3 linked regions of the Canis lupus familiaris genome follow. The protein of the gene in region 3 purifies or fractionates together with the protein of the main gene of each other region. This does not show direct contact. Links are inferred from orthologs where the notes say so. Each region holds a gene or a part of one and is shown on either strand. Other genes may lie near its edges.

Region 1 (4,234 bases), on a different chromosome or scaffold from region 3:
TTAAGCGGCCCCTTTCTGTGAAACTTTTAATATTTCCAATATAATCTCTCAATAAATGTTAATACTCAGTACTCATTAGGCATTAGGTACTGGGGATACCAAGAAATAGTTCCTGTACACATCAGTCTCAACGTGGATAAGAAAACCTTGGGCAGCCCGGGTGGCTCAGCAGTTTGGCGCCGCCTTCCACCCAGTGCGTGATCCTGGAGACCCGGGATGGAGTCCCACGTCAGGCTCCCTGCATGGAGCCTGCTTCTCCCTCTGCCTGTGTCTCTGCCTCTCTCTCTCTCTCTCATGAATAAATATTTTTTAAAAAACCTTAACACAATAGAATATTCTAGTATAATAAAGAGCTACAGTAGCACCTAGGTAAGTAAATAAATAAATAAATAAATAAATAAACCCACCAAGAAATCTGCTCCAGGCTATCAGAGATGACTTATTAAGGGAAAAGAGAAGAGATGCACCATGAACCATTCCAGATCTTTAGGAAAGTATCTCTATGTAAATATTATGCATATTTCCACTAAACATTGATCATCCTTTACCAAAAACTCACAGTGACAGACTGTCTTATACACAGTGCTGTTGTTAACTGAATACTGCTATACTTTCTTTATAGCATCAGTTAATTCATACTGTAGCAAGATTCCAAATAAAAAAGCAAACTTGGCCAATCAACTTCAATCTTCTATAGACCAAAGCTTTTAATTGAGTCTCAAAAAAGCAGGAAACCTGATCCAAACCTTGATTTCCCTGTCCAAAAGTATCTTTATGATTAAAAATATCAACAAACAAGTGATCAAAGCCACAAACTGCCCCCAATGAACAGCCTACTCCTGAATAAACAAGAGCAACATCTTCAGTTTCTAATTATTTTGCAAAAGGTTACATCCGGATTAGTCTAAAGACAGAAGAGTAAGTGCCTAAACAACCTTCAGGGCTAAAACAGTGTTTAAATCCTAAATACCGGGCAGCCCGGGTGGCTCGGCGGCTTGGTGCCTGCCTTTGGCCCTGGGCGTGATCCTGGGGTTCCGGGATCGAGTCCCGCATCAGGCTCCCTGTGGGGGAGCCTGCCTCTCCCTCTGCCTGTGTCTCTGCCTCTCTTTCTCTGTGTCTCTCATGAATAAATAAATAAAATAAAATATATATCTCATATAAAATAAAAAATATCTCATGAATAAATAAAAAAATATAAAAAATAATAATAAAATAAATAAATAAATCCTAAATACCTACCCCCACAACGAGAAGAGTATTAAAGTCACTGCCCATTAATTAGCATGTCGCAGAGAGCTGGACTTCAGTTCTGGCGGGGAACACAATTATTCCAGGGCATTCACATCCTGGTCCCAACCAACCTTTCCAGATTCGCCTACACTTTCCCTCCCTGCAGCGCCACAGTCCACTACTCAAACACACTTTTCAGGACTCCTTGCCTCGTTACAAGATGTCCTCTCAGGCTCAAATGTCCTCCCCTAATTTAAAACGGATTGATCCGTTTAGGCCAGGGACACGTCACCTCCTCTATGGAAGAGTCCTACCTAGGCAGGAATTAATCACTCCGTTACCCAGAATCCCAGAACATGCGGCCTGTATTTCTATTTAAGCGTTAATTTGCCTCATGAAAGAATGAAAACGTATACACACACACACACCTGTCTCCCCAGGAGCCTGTAAAACTTTGCACGGCCTTACTCTTTGTTACTTCGGACTCACACGGAGCCAGCACCTGGAAACGACCCGTGAAAATACAAATGACTCCTGGAAGCCTCCCGTTCGACGAACGCTTCAGATTCCAGGTCAGAAAAAAAAAAAAAAAATCCTAAGGAACGCGCCTCCCAATGCCCATGCCTCATCTTCTCTGAAGTGACCCTATTTCCTGTCATTTCTGGAAACTGGATACTCCCTCAAGAACTCCGGCTTATTCTCAGCATTTTCCTAAATTCCGTGTTCTCCGAATTCCACAAAACGATCAGGTACCTCGAAAGCTTTGACCGCTGGGAATAATAACGTGCCTTTCCCTCTTCCACCAATCATCAGTCTCCAAGGGGGGGGGGTGGGGAACAAACACCAATATACAAGTGATCACGGGAAGAAAAAACTACCAGATTTTATGTCCAAATCACTTCATACAAAAAAAAAAAAAAAAGTATTTTAGATGCCTGATTAGCCGAGACGAAGAGGAACGGGCCTCAAGCAGGCTACGCTCGAGTTGGCGCTGCCGAAAAGCGGCTGCCGTGTTCCCGGGCTCCCCCGACTCCCCCGGGCACGAACTGCGCCCGCCACAGTTCCGTGAGGCGAGGGCGACTCCCGGCTTTCACGCCCGTTTCCCCGATTCGCGGCCCTGGCCTCCCCCCCGGCGAGCCGTCTGAACGAGGCCTTCCGCTCGGAAAAGAGAAGCAACTCTGAAGGAACAGGACCCAAACGCGGAACAAAGCGCCTGCCCGCGGTGGAGGAGTAGGACGCCATTACGTGGGGCAGTGGCCTGCGCCGCTAGCGCCGAGGAGCCGACCAGGGCCCCCACGCGCGGGCGCGGCACCCCACCAACGAAACCACAGGCCGAGGCAAAAACCGAGTAAAATCGAGTCTTGGCAGGCTGGCAGCAGAGAAGACGCGGGAGCACGGGAAGACGCCTTACCTTCGTGGGTCTTGGCGATCTTCGCCATTTTGTCCACTCGAACACACAGACGGAACTGGCGCTCCCCAGCACTTCCGCTCGCCGCCGCTGCCACGGAGAAAAATAGCTGGGGAATGCTCTCTGCGCGTGCGCCAAGCGGGGGCGCGCGCCGCCGCGCGACACGTGACGGAGCAGCCGCCTAGAGGGAACAGAGCGATGCATTGTGGGGGAGGGGGAGGAGCCAGGGCCCGGCGCGGAGGCGGTTTTCGCGGTGGCGGGAGGAGGAGGGCTAAGCGAGTCCTGACGCGGGGGCGGGGGCGGGGGCGACGGCGACTGCTCTGGAGGGAAGTGGGTTGTGCGAGGACCCGCTGATAGTCACTGCGAGAGACGCTGGATTTCAGGCCCGTCCGAAGCCTCAGGCCGTCAGTTCTCGTCCTCCACGTCGAGCGGAGGTGTGTCGGTGCCAGGCGAGAGCTCCTGTGGCGTCTCTCAGCGGCTGCAGTGGGTAGTTGTGGAGACACACACCAGTCACGTCCTTCGCGCTGAAATTCAAGGTCATTTTTCTTTCTTCTTAAAGAATTACTTGCCATTTGGGTAGGAGTTTCGTGCACAACATTATTATTTCCAGACACTGTTGTACCTCACAAACAACCCAGGAAAGTGGGCGAGTTGTTGCTAATCCCATTTAAGAAAGGAGAGGAAAACTAGGGCGGGGGTGTAAATAAAATATGCAAGGTCACACCCTTACTGAATTACCCGGGAGGAACTGTGCCGTCCTTTTTTAAAGCCTTTTAATTTCATAGGTTCTTAGAAAACCACTGGCTGTCAGCATTAACACTGATGGAATGCCTTTCTTTTTTTTTTAATTTTTATTTATTTATTTATGATAGACACACAGTGAGAAAGAGAGAGAGGCAGAGACACAGGCAGAGGGAGAAGCAGGCTCCATGCAGGGAGCCCGACGTGGGATTCGATCCCGGGTCTCCAGGATCGCGCCCTGGGCCAAAGGCAGGCGCCAAACCGCTGCGCCACCGAGGGATCCCTGGAATGCCTCTCTTAATCCTAAATGTCACTCTTGAATCAGGAATTTTTAAAAGCTCCAAATATGGCTTTTCTTTTTTTTTTTTTGCCTACTCCTCAATTACAAAAGCATAATTTTGAACTGCCACACTGGCCTTGGACTTTAGGATTAAAAAAGAACATAACTTTGAGGGGAAGTTGGTACAGGAAGCAGCCTAAGGAAACAGGTAAGGATTAAGGTTAGAGCTATCACCAAAAACGTTTGCCTGGCTGTGTAACAGGATCACAACATGAGTATTTAGTAGAAACTTTAGTAACAAAAATGGGACTTAGTATCAATGAAAAAAATCAATTTGATGAGAGAAAATTTTCAATTTTCAATTGTTTTAATTTAGGTTAAACAATAGTTGAGGGAGGAAAGGGTTAAGAGAACATGTAGATTGTTTTTTTAAAAAAAGATTTTATTCATGAGAGATAGACACAGGCAGAGGGAGAAGTAGGCCCCCTGCAGGGAGTCTGACATGGGACTGGATCCCAGGGACCACAGGGGTCACGACCTGAGCTGAAGGCAGACACTCAACCCCTGAGCCATGC
Region 2 (4,033 bases), on a different chromosome or scaffold from region 3:
TCCAAATACCATTCTTTCCCAGTCCCGTTGAAATTGTTGTCTTTTTTATGGGCATGGCAGAGGGGGTCCGGGGTGAGGGAAGGTTCTGTCTAATCCTCCAATTTTTCTTATCTTGGTCTTGCTGTCTCAGCTTTTGACACTCCAGCCCTCAACAAGCTCACTGACCTTTCTGTTGCAGATGGGTGGTGCTAACCTTCTCCAACTCTTGCCCTGTCCTGTTTCATTCTCGAGATATGTTTCTCATGATTTGAGGAATTAAGAAACAAAAGCAATCCAGAATACGATTACCTTTGTTCTTTTCAGGGCAATTCCATCCCTCTGGATACCCAGCCGATAAGCTGTGAGATGAGAGATGCTGTTCATCAGTTCAAAGGAGATGGCCTACAGAACTCATTCTCACCTCCTCTTGCTGCTTAATTCCAATTTCTGTTTCTTCCCTCTGGTTTTCTATGGGTATGCTAGTGGGTATGGGACACATCCTGTCTCTCCCAATTGTATATTTTGTAGTGACATTTCTATTTAACGAGTTCATTAAAGTACAGTTGCTGGCATTATCTCTGGTGTCTGAATAAAAGATCCTAAGTAAAAAAGCGATGATAAACCGGGAGAAGAAGGGACCCACCATATTATTGTTCAGGAAATATGGAGATAGGTCAGGCTGTCCACACTAATCGTTTCGTAAGATGGGGCAAAGAGCATGCAAAGACATGGTTGGTGGGCCCGGGGTATTCTGGCGGTTGAAACTGAGGCCCCTGGGCTGCAATGTCAGGTACCCTCAGCTCTGGGCACACATCATCTCTGAGCCTCAGGTTTCCATCTCCCCCATGCAACAGGATCATGTGAGCTCCGACGCCACTCCAGCTCAGACACTCCGCAATCCTCTCCCCAGAAGCCGCGGGCCACGGTGGAGGGCTGCCTCCGCACCCTAAGGCAGCCGAATCCTTGGGTTGGAGGGTTTCCTCAGCACACCCTTCTCCGGGGAACAAAAGGATAGTTTGCCAACAAAATATTTCTAAATAAAGTTTTGTTCTTTTAGCTTTTGAGTTTACATTTTTAGGAGTACTGTGATCCTTTAACGTCCAGCACTGCCTTAAGAGGGTCTGGGCATTTCCGTTCGGCCCTCATCGCTTTGACCGCTAGCAGCGGCAAATCCGCGCAGAACCACGGACCGGAGAACGCGGCCCCACAAGCCGCATCAAGTCTCCGCAACTCCTAAGATGGCCGGGGCCTCTTCCGGCTCCTCCCCCATCAGGCCCCGCCCACCGCCCTCGTGACTACCTTCGCCCCGGAAGTGGAAGTACTGACTGAGGTCAGAGGGCGGGATCGCTGCCTGGAGACGGCGGGAGCTCTTTCGCCATGGCGGCCGGCCCGATCTCCGAGCGGAACCAGGGTAGTTGGAGGGGATGAGGCCAGGGAGGCTGGGAGGCCTCGAGGAAGGCCAGCCGTGTTTTCGCCGGGGCAGGAGATCGGATCCCCCCGGAGGGCGCGAACCCGGCCCCCGTGCCGGCTGGGGGTGGGGTGGCCGGGTGCAGGCTGAGGCCTGTGGTTGTGATGCTCTGTCCAATCTCCTGCGCCTTCCCATTCAAAAAAACAAAACAAAACAAAAACCCAAACGAAAACCAAAAACAAAGCAATTCACAGAGAATTTGCAGCAGAACCTTCAGTTAGACTTAAGAAGGTTCTTTAGTTCTGGAATGAGAGAGATGTAAGGGCTTACTCTCACGTCTTTTTCCTTTTTTGTTCCTATATCCCATCTCCACTCCCAGTTCCCCCGCCTGTCACTTCCTTCTTTCCCGTCGTTGTCTCATCCCTGCCATAATCTGCTCATTTCTCTTAGATGCCACTGTCTACGTCGGGGGACTGGATGAGAAGGTTAGCGAACCCCTGCTGTGGGAGCTTTTTCTCCAGGCAGGGCCAGTAGTCAACACCCACATGCCAAAGGATAGAGTCACAGGTCAGCACCAAGGTGAGTACATCACAAGAGGCGTGTTTATGCATTGAGGGGACAAGCTGCTCCTGGAGGGTTCCGGCAGTATTCATAGGCAGTATTCATAGCCGTTTTGGAATCACCTGTAGATTCTTCCTTTTAAGTGTCATTCAATGTTTGCTTCTGGAACCATTCCCAGTTGAAGTGAGGTGGTTATTTCATGTTCTTTGTGCTTTGGAAGGTGCATGAGTTACACACGAAATTGAATCACTTCACTTAAGTTAATCTCTGCTTTTCTACTTCCCAGGCTATGGCTTTGTGGAATTCCTGAGTGAGGAAGATGCTGACTATGCCATTAAGATCATGAACATGATCAAACTATATGGGAAGCCAATACGAGTGAACAAGGCATCGGCTCACAACAAGAACCTGGACGTGGGGGCCAACATTTTCATTGGCAATCTGGACCCAGAAATTGATGAGAAGCTGCTTTATGATACTTTCAGCGCCTTCGGGGTCATCTTACAAACCCCTAAGATTATGCGGGACCCTGATACAGGCAACTCCAAAGGTTATGCCTTTATTAATTTTGCTTCATTTGACGCTTCGGATGCAGCTATTGAGGCCATGAATGGGCAGTATCTCTGTAATCGCCCCATTACTGTGTCCTATGCCTTCAAGAAGGACTCGAAAGGGGAGCGCCACGGCTCAGCAGCTGAACGACTTCTAGCAGCCCAGAACCCACTCTCCCAGGCTGACCGCCCTCATCAGCTGTTTGCAGATGCACCCCCTCCGCCTTCAGCCCCCAATCCTGTCGTATCATCATTGGGGTCTGGGCTCCCGCCACCAGGTAAAGCTTTTATTCAAAGTATTTTTGTCTTGGGCTTGGGGTGTGGTGGTGAGCGGGGGCAAGGGGAGGAGAAAAGAACTTGATAAAGGGGGACATGGAGTCAGTAGGTGATGAGAAAGAGAGTGAGGGGTGACAGTTGTGGGGAGAAAGTTGTTGAGTTGAAGAGGCTGAAGTTGTTCCTAGTTATCTAGTATTGCTTCTGATTTTAGAGAGCTGGGAGGAAGGGAAGAGAACTTATCCTGCCTGAGGAGGCCAGATTGAACGGGCTTTCTAAAGACATTCTCTCCTTACTATCGTTAACTTGTCTTTCATTTCCTCTATAGGCATGCCTCCTCCTGGGTCCTTCCCACCCCCGGTGCCGCCTCCTGGAGCCCTTCCACCCGGGATACCCCCAGCCATGCCCCCGCCACCTATGCCTCCCGGTGCTGGAGGACACGGTCCACCATCAGCAGGAACCCCAGGGGCTGGACATCCTGGACATGGACACTCGCATCCTCACCCATTCCCACCAAGTGGGATGCCCCATCCAGGTGAGTGTTCTTTGCTGGGGAAAAGGATAGATAAGCTTGTTGGAGGAGCTCCACTGCCACATGCAGTGCTGCCCTCATCCCTCAGCAGTAATAGTAGATAGTCCCGGAGCTCTGCTTTTTTTTCAGACATTCTTTTATAAAAACAAACACGAGACACTGTTCTCTGTTTACTTTAACAGCTACCACCCTGTCTCCATTTATTATACAAGTTTTTCCAAAGAGTGTAACTGTACTCGTTTGCTTTTTCCTTTAACTTTTACTTCATTTTTCTCCTCCGACTTCTACCCCAAAGCAGTGACCTAATTGCCAAATAGAGGGGGCACTTCCATTCTTTACCTGGTTTGCCATTTGGTGTACTTGAAACTGGGTGTGTTGTCCTTTTTGAAAAGCTTGCCTCTTGGTGTTTCTGGATTTTTCATCTGTCTCAGACTCCTTAAAGTTAGCCACATTAGGGATCCCTGGGTGGCGCAGCGGTTTGGCGCCTGTCTTTGGCCCAGGGCGCGATCCTGGAGACCCGGGATCGAATCCCACATCGGGCTCCCGGTGCATGGAGCCTGCTTCTCCCTCTGCCTGTGTCTCTGCCTCTCTCTCTCTGTGTGACTATCGTAAATTAAAAAAAAAAAAAAAAAAAAAGTTAGCCACATTAGTAGGCTTTTCTCCCTCTCCATGTAGCTGGGTTTTTGTATCTGGTTCTCTTTTCTTTTTTTTTTTTTAATTTTTATTTAT
Region 3 (3,500 bases):
GGTGGCCCAGTAGTTTGGCGCTGCCTTCAGCCCAGGGTATGATCCTGGAGATTCTGCATCGGGCTCCCTGCATGGAGCCTGCTTCTCCCTCTGCCTGTGTCTCCGCCTCTTTCTCTCTCTCTCTCTCTCTCTCTCTCTCATGAATGAATAAACAAAATCTTAAAAAAAATAAAATAAAAATGGCAGACTATTTTCTGAACTCCTACTCTGTACCCCTGTACTTTTCTCTCATTATTCCTTTTGCCTTGTCCTCAATTTCAGTCTGGTCCTACCAGTCTATCCTCACTGTAGGGCTTTGTCCTGGAAAGGATACCATTTGTGTTTAGTACGAAGAATGAGGGCCAGAATTGCCCAGTTGCTTCAGGACTTAATGTACTCCTTATTGGAAGATACATAGCTATTGGCTGCTGTTCTCAGACTGAACTCTTGGTCATTTTGGGGTATTCACATTTGTCACAAGCCTTTCTGCTGTCCTGCTGTTGCTTCCTGTACAAATGCTGGCTCCCAAGCCAGTCTTGCAGCTCTCACAATGGTCTGTCTCTACCTGCTAGGATTCTTGCCAGAATGCCTTTTCGTCTAGGTTAATTGTAGTTGTTGACCATAGGCTTTTGGTTTTGCTATCCTTGTTGAGCTGTATCTTATGTGATAATTTGGAAAGAATCAAAAACTAACTTGCCTTTATCCCATAATTGTGTCCTTTTTCTTCCCCCTATACTCTTTGTCCTTGAATAATTATCTAAAGCAGTTTGAGGGAACCTTGAATAAAGGTGCCAGGCCTCAACGATGATATGCCTGTGTCACCACCAGGCATGTCCAGGTACTAGTGGTAAAAACCGCCTTACCCCAAGATCCAGTTTGAGGTTCCTTGTGTGAATAATTTGCTCTGAAGTCACATAAACTTTAATATATTTCTTTTCTAAATAATTCCTTTAAAGTCTAGCCCTTTTGAGCTTGCTACAGGACATATAATTTTTTTGAGGGGGAGGGGTCTCTTAATATTGAGACAGAAGCTGTTATGGCTAGGATTTTCAGTTTAAGAAGTTCAAATCTACTTAACAGTTTAGTCAGTAATTTACTAAGCATCGGTGATGTGCTAGTATTGTGCTAGGTGCTAGGGCATTAAAGAAATAAAAGATAGGAGTCCCTGTTCCAAAGGCATCTGCCATATCAGAGTATCAGAATAGCCTATGGTATTCATATTCTTACCTCTGGCCATTTCTTTTACAGGGTGACCTAGACCCTTTGGCATCTCTCAAATCACTGACTTACCTAAGGTATGGAAATGATCTGTGGTGGTGACAGTTAAGTCCTTTATAATAGCACCATTACCAGCCTTGATCTTAGAGCAAACAGTTAGTAAGAAGGACCTTTGAAAAACAAGGACTGAAAATGTGAAACCTCCCCAATGTGAATTTAATAACTCTGCAACATGACAAAATTGACTCATCTGATTCCATTAAAATGGACCTGTTGAATGCTGCACTGTGAGTAAGATTGGCATTATGTTATTCCTTTTCTTGTAGTATTCTGAGAAATCCTGTAACAAACAAGAAGCATTATAGACTGTATGTAATTTATAAAGTTCCGCAAGTCAGAGTACTGGATTTCCAGAAAGTGAAACTAAAAGTAAGTATTGTTCTGTGGGTTATAAGTCATTGTAGATTCGTGTGTTTCATTTTATACTTTTGTTACTGATTTTTTTTTAATTGCCTAATGAGTTTTCCTATTGGTTTGTAATAAAAATGTGGGAAGGAAAATGTTAAGTCCTTTATTTTTCATAGCAGAGTTTATATAGCAGGACTTTGAGTTAAAGCTGTCTTACATGGTAGTGTTGGTCATTCAGAGGTAGTACAATATCAGAGCAACCATGAGCACCATCAACAACAGATCGTTTAGATCCACTCCCCTGTGGGGACCTTAGTATAATCCATTTTTCAGCAGCTGTAATTGTTAGAATGATTTTCTCTTTACTAGGTGTGTTTTTGGTTTGTGTGTGGTTTGTGTTTTTTGTTTTTTCTTTTTAAACATTCTTAGTTCCTCCAGACCCCCTCCTCGAAACTAGGAGGGGGAGCTTTCTTCAGGGAGCTTTCACCAGAGAAGGCAAGGCCATTTGTCTCCTTTTAATTTGAAATTGGCTTTTTGGTATTTTTACCAGCCCCGAGTGTTTCAGGAGAGTTTCCTTCCATGTTTTCTGAGGAATGCATTTAAATGCATGTGGTATTCCTATTTCCATTAACTCTGTGTGTGGTGTTGCTGTAGGAGCGTCAGGAAGCAGAGAAAATGTTCAAGGGCAAACGGGGTGCACAACTTGCAAAGGATATTGCCAGGAGAAGCAAAACGTAAGATACAGATAATCCAACTTCACTCCACTTCACCTTCAGAAACACTATCTGTCTGGCTTTTTGCCCTCCTACAGAATTAAACAAAACACCTGTGACTAACACAGTATTGAATTCGTGTGATGATAGCCCCGTGACCATCACTGGTCCACACATCACATGAGATTTCCATCAGGTTAGCAAATACTTCCATGTTCAGTCTTAATGCGACATTGTATACTTCCTGCTTCTTCTCTATAGGAAGATGAACTGGGTGGTGTTTCTGAAGGAGGGAGTTTCTTGTATCAGTTTGTTAACAAAGATAAGATACTACACTGGTTGAATTACTTTCAAAAGCTTTTTTTGAAAGTAAAAGAGAAGCAGTTTCCCTTGTCTGGATTTAACAGTTGCATTCTTCCCTCTCCTTTCCCCTCCCAAGTTTCAATCCAGGTGCTGGTTTGCCAACTGACAAAAAGAAAGGTGGGCCATCTCCAGGGGATGTAGAAGCAATCAAGGTAATAACGGGTTAGGACTCTTGGACTGGAAAGAGTTGCCGTGGGTTTTAGGACATGAAATATGTAATTGACCAAATTCTAAACATTGTAGTGTCTTCCCCCACCCCACCCCACCCCACCCCACAACCCCACAAGAGTTAGGTTCCTGCTATGTTCCGTGTAAGGAAGGAACTAGCTTAAAGTTACTACCTGATTTTGACTTGAATTATTTACATGAGCCAGTCAAAGCAGAGGCAGCTCTGGTTCTTTGTCATTTTCCCAGGATCTATTTTTTTTTTTTTAAATAGTTAAATTACCTTAGCATGTTGTCTCAGTGTTTGCCTTAGCTTTTCAAAGATTTGCTGTCTGAAAGATCTGTTAGTTAATCATGGGAAATCCTAATTTCATAATACTGCTTCCTAGATTATCCAGTAACATAGTTCCAAAAAGGTGCTTTAATTCACTAAATTGTTAGGACATGTGCAATGATTATTTTCTCTCTTGTAAGAGGGTCCACATCCATCTACCAATTTGGGGAATTTATGATTTGGTTTGATTTCAACATGACGATAAAATTCTTACCCCAGCACAACTGTATAATAGTCCACCTCACAGAGTTGCCGTGGACTTCTGTAGGGTTTTCTGTGTGATTGACACTTAGATGCAATAAACTGGTCATGTCCATTGT

What was found. Proteins that work in one complex are often made in the same cells at the same time.
Region 1: the proteins of SNRPA1 (region 3) and SF3B1 purify together in Homo sapiens (affinity purification with mass spectrometry; 8 studies listed by BioGRID and IntAct, counting the BioPlex papers as one, with this or other methods). This does not show direct contact. The link is inferred for Canis lupus familiaris from reciprocal best matches to the Homo sapiens genes SNRPA1 and SF3B1.
Region 2: the proteins of SNRPA1 (region 3) and SF3B4 purify together in Homo sapiens (affinity purification with mass spectrometry; 3 studies listed by BioGRID and IntAct, counting the BioPlex papers as one, with this or other methods). This does not show direct contact. The link is inferred for Canis lupus familiaris from reciprocal best matches to the Homo sapiens genes SNRPA1 and SF3B4.

What each region holds. Positions count from the first base shown.
Region 1 is NC_049258.1:6,839,143-6,843,376, forward strand, and holds the start of SF3B1 (splicing factor 3B subunit 1), read right to left. Parts: upstream 2,801-4,234; 5' UTR 2,670-2,800; coding exon 2,642-2,669; intron 1-2,641. UniProt on the Homo sapiens protein: Component of the 17S U2 SnRNP complex of the spliceosome, a large ribonucleoprotein complex that removes introns from transcribed pre-mRNAs.
Region 2 is NC_049238.1:59,867,874-59,871,906, reverse strand, and holds the start of SF3B4 (splicing factor 3B subunit 4), read left to right. Parts: upstream 1-1,233; 5' UTR 1,234-1,356; coding exon 1,357-1,390; intron 1,391-1,837; coding exon 1,838-1,966; intron 1,967-2,234; coding exon 2,235-2,777; intron 2,778-3,100; coding exon 3,101-3,307; intron 3,308-4,033. Other genes in the region: MTMR11 (myotubularin-related protein 11), read left to right, coding at 1-31. UniProt on the Homo sapiens protein: Component of the 17S U2 SnRNP complex of the spliceosome, a large ribonucleoprotein complex that removes introns from transcribed pre-mRNAs.
Region 3 is NC_049224.1:40,147,674-40,151,173, forward strand, and holds part of SNRPA1 (U2 small nuclear ribonucleoprotein A'), read left to right. Parts: intron 1-1,227; coding exon 1,228-1,274; intron 1,275-1,523; coding exon 1,524-1,626; intron 1,627-2,259; coding exon 2,260-2,339; intron 2,340-2,757; coding exon 2,758-2,833; intron 2,834-3,500. UniProt on the Homo sapiens protein: Involved in pre-mRNA splicing as component of the spliceosome. Associated with sn-RNP U2, where it contributes to the binding of stem loop IV of U2 snRNA.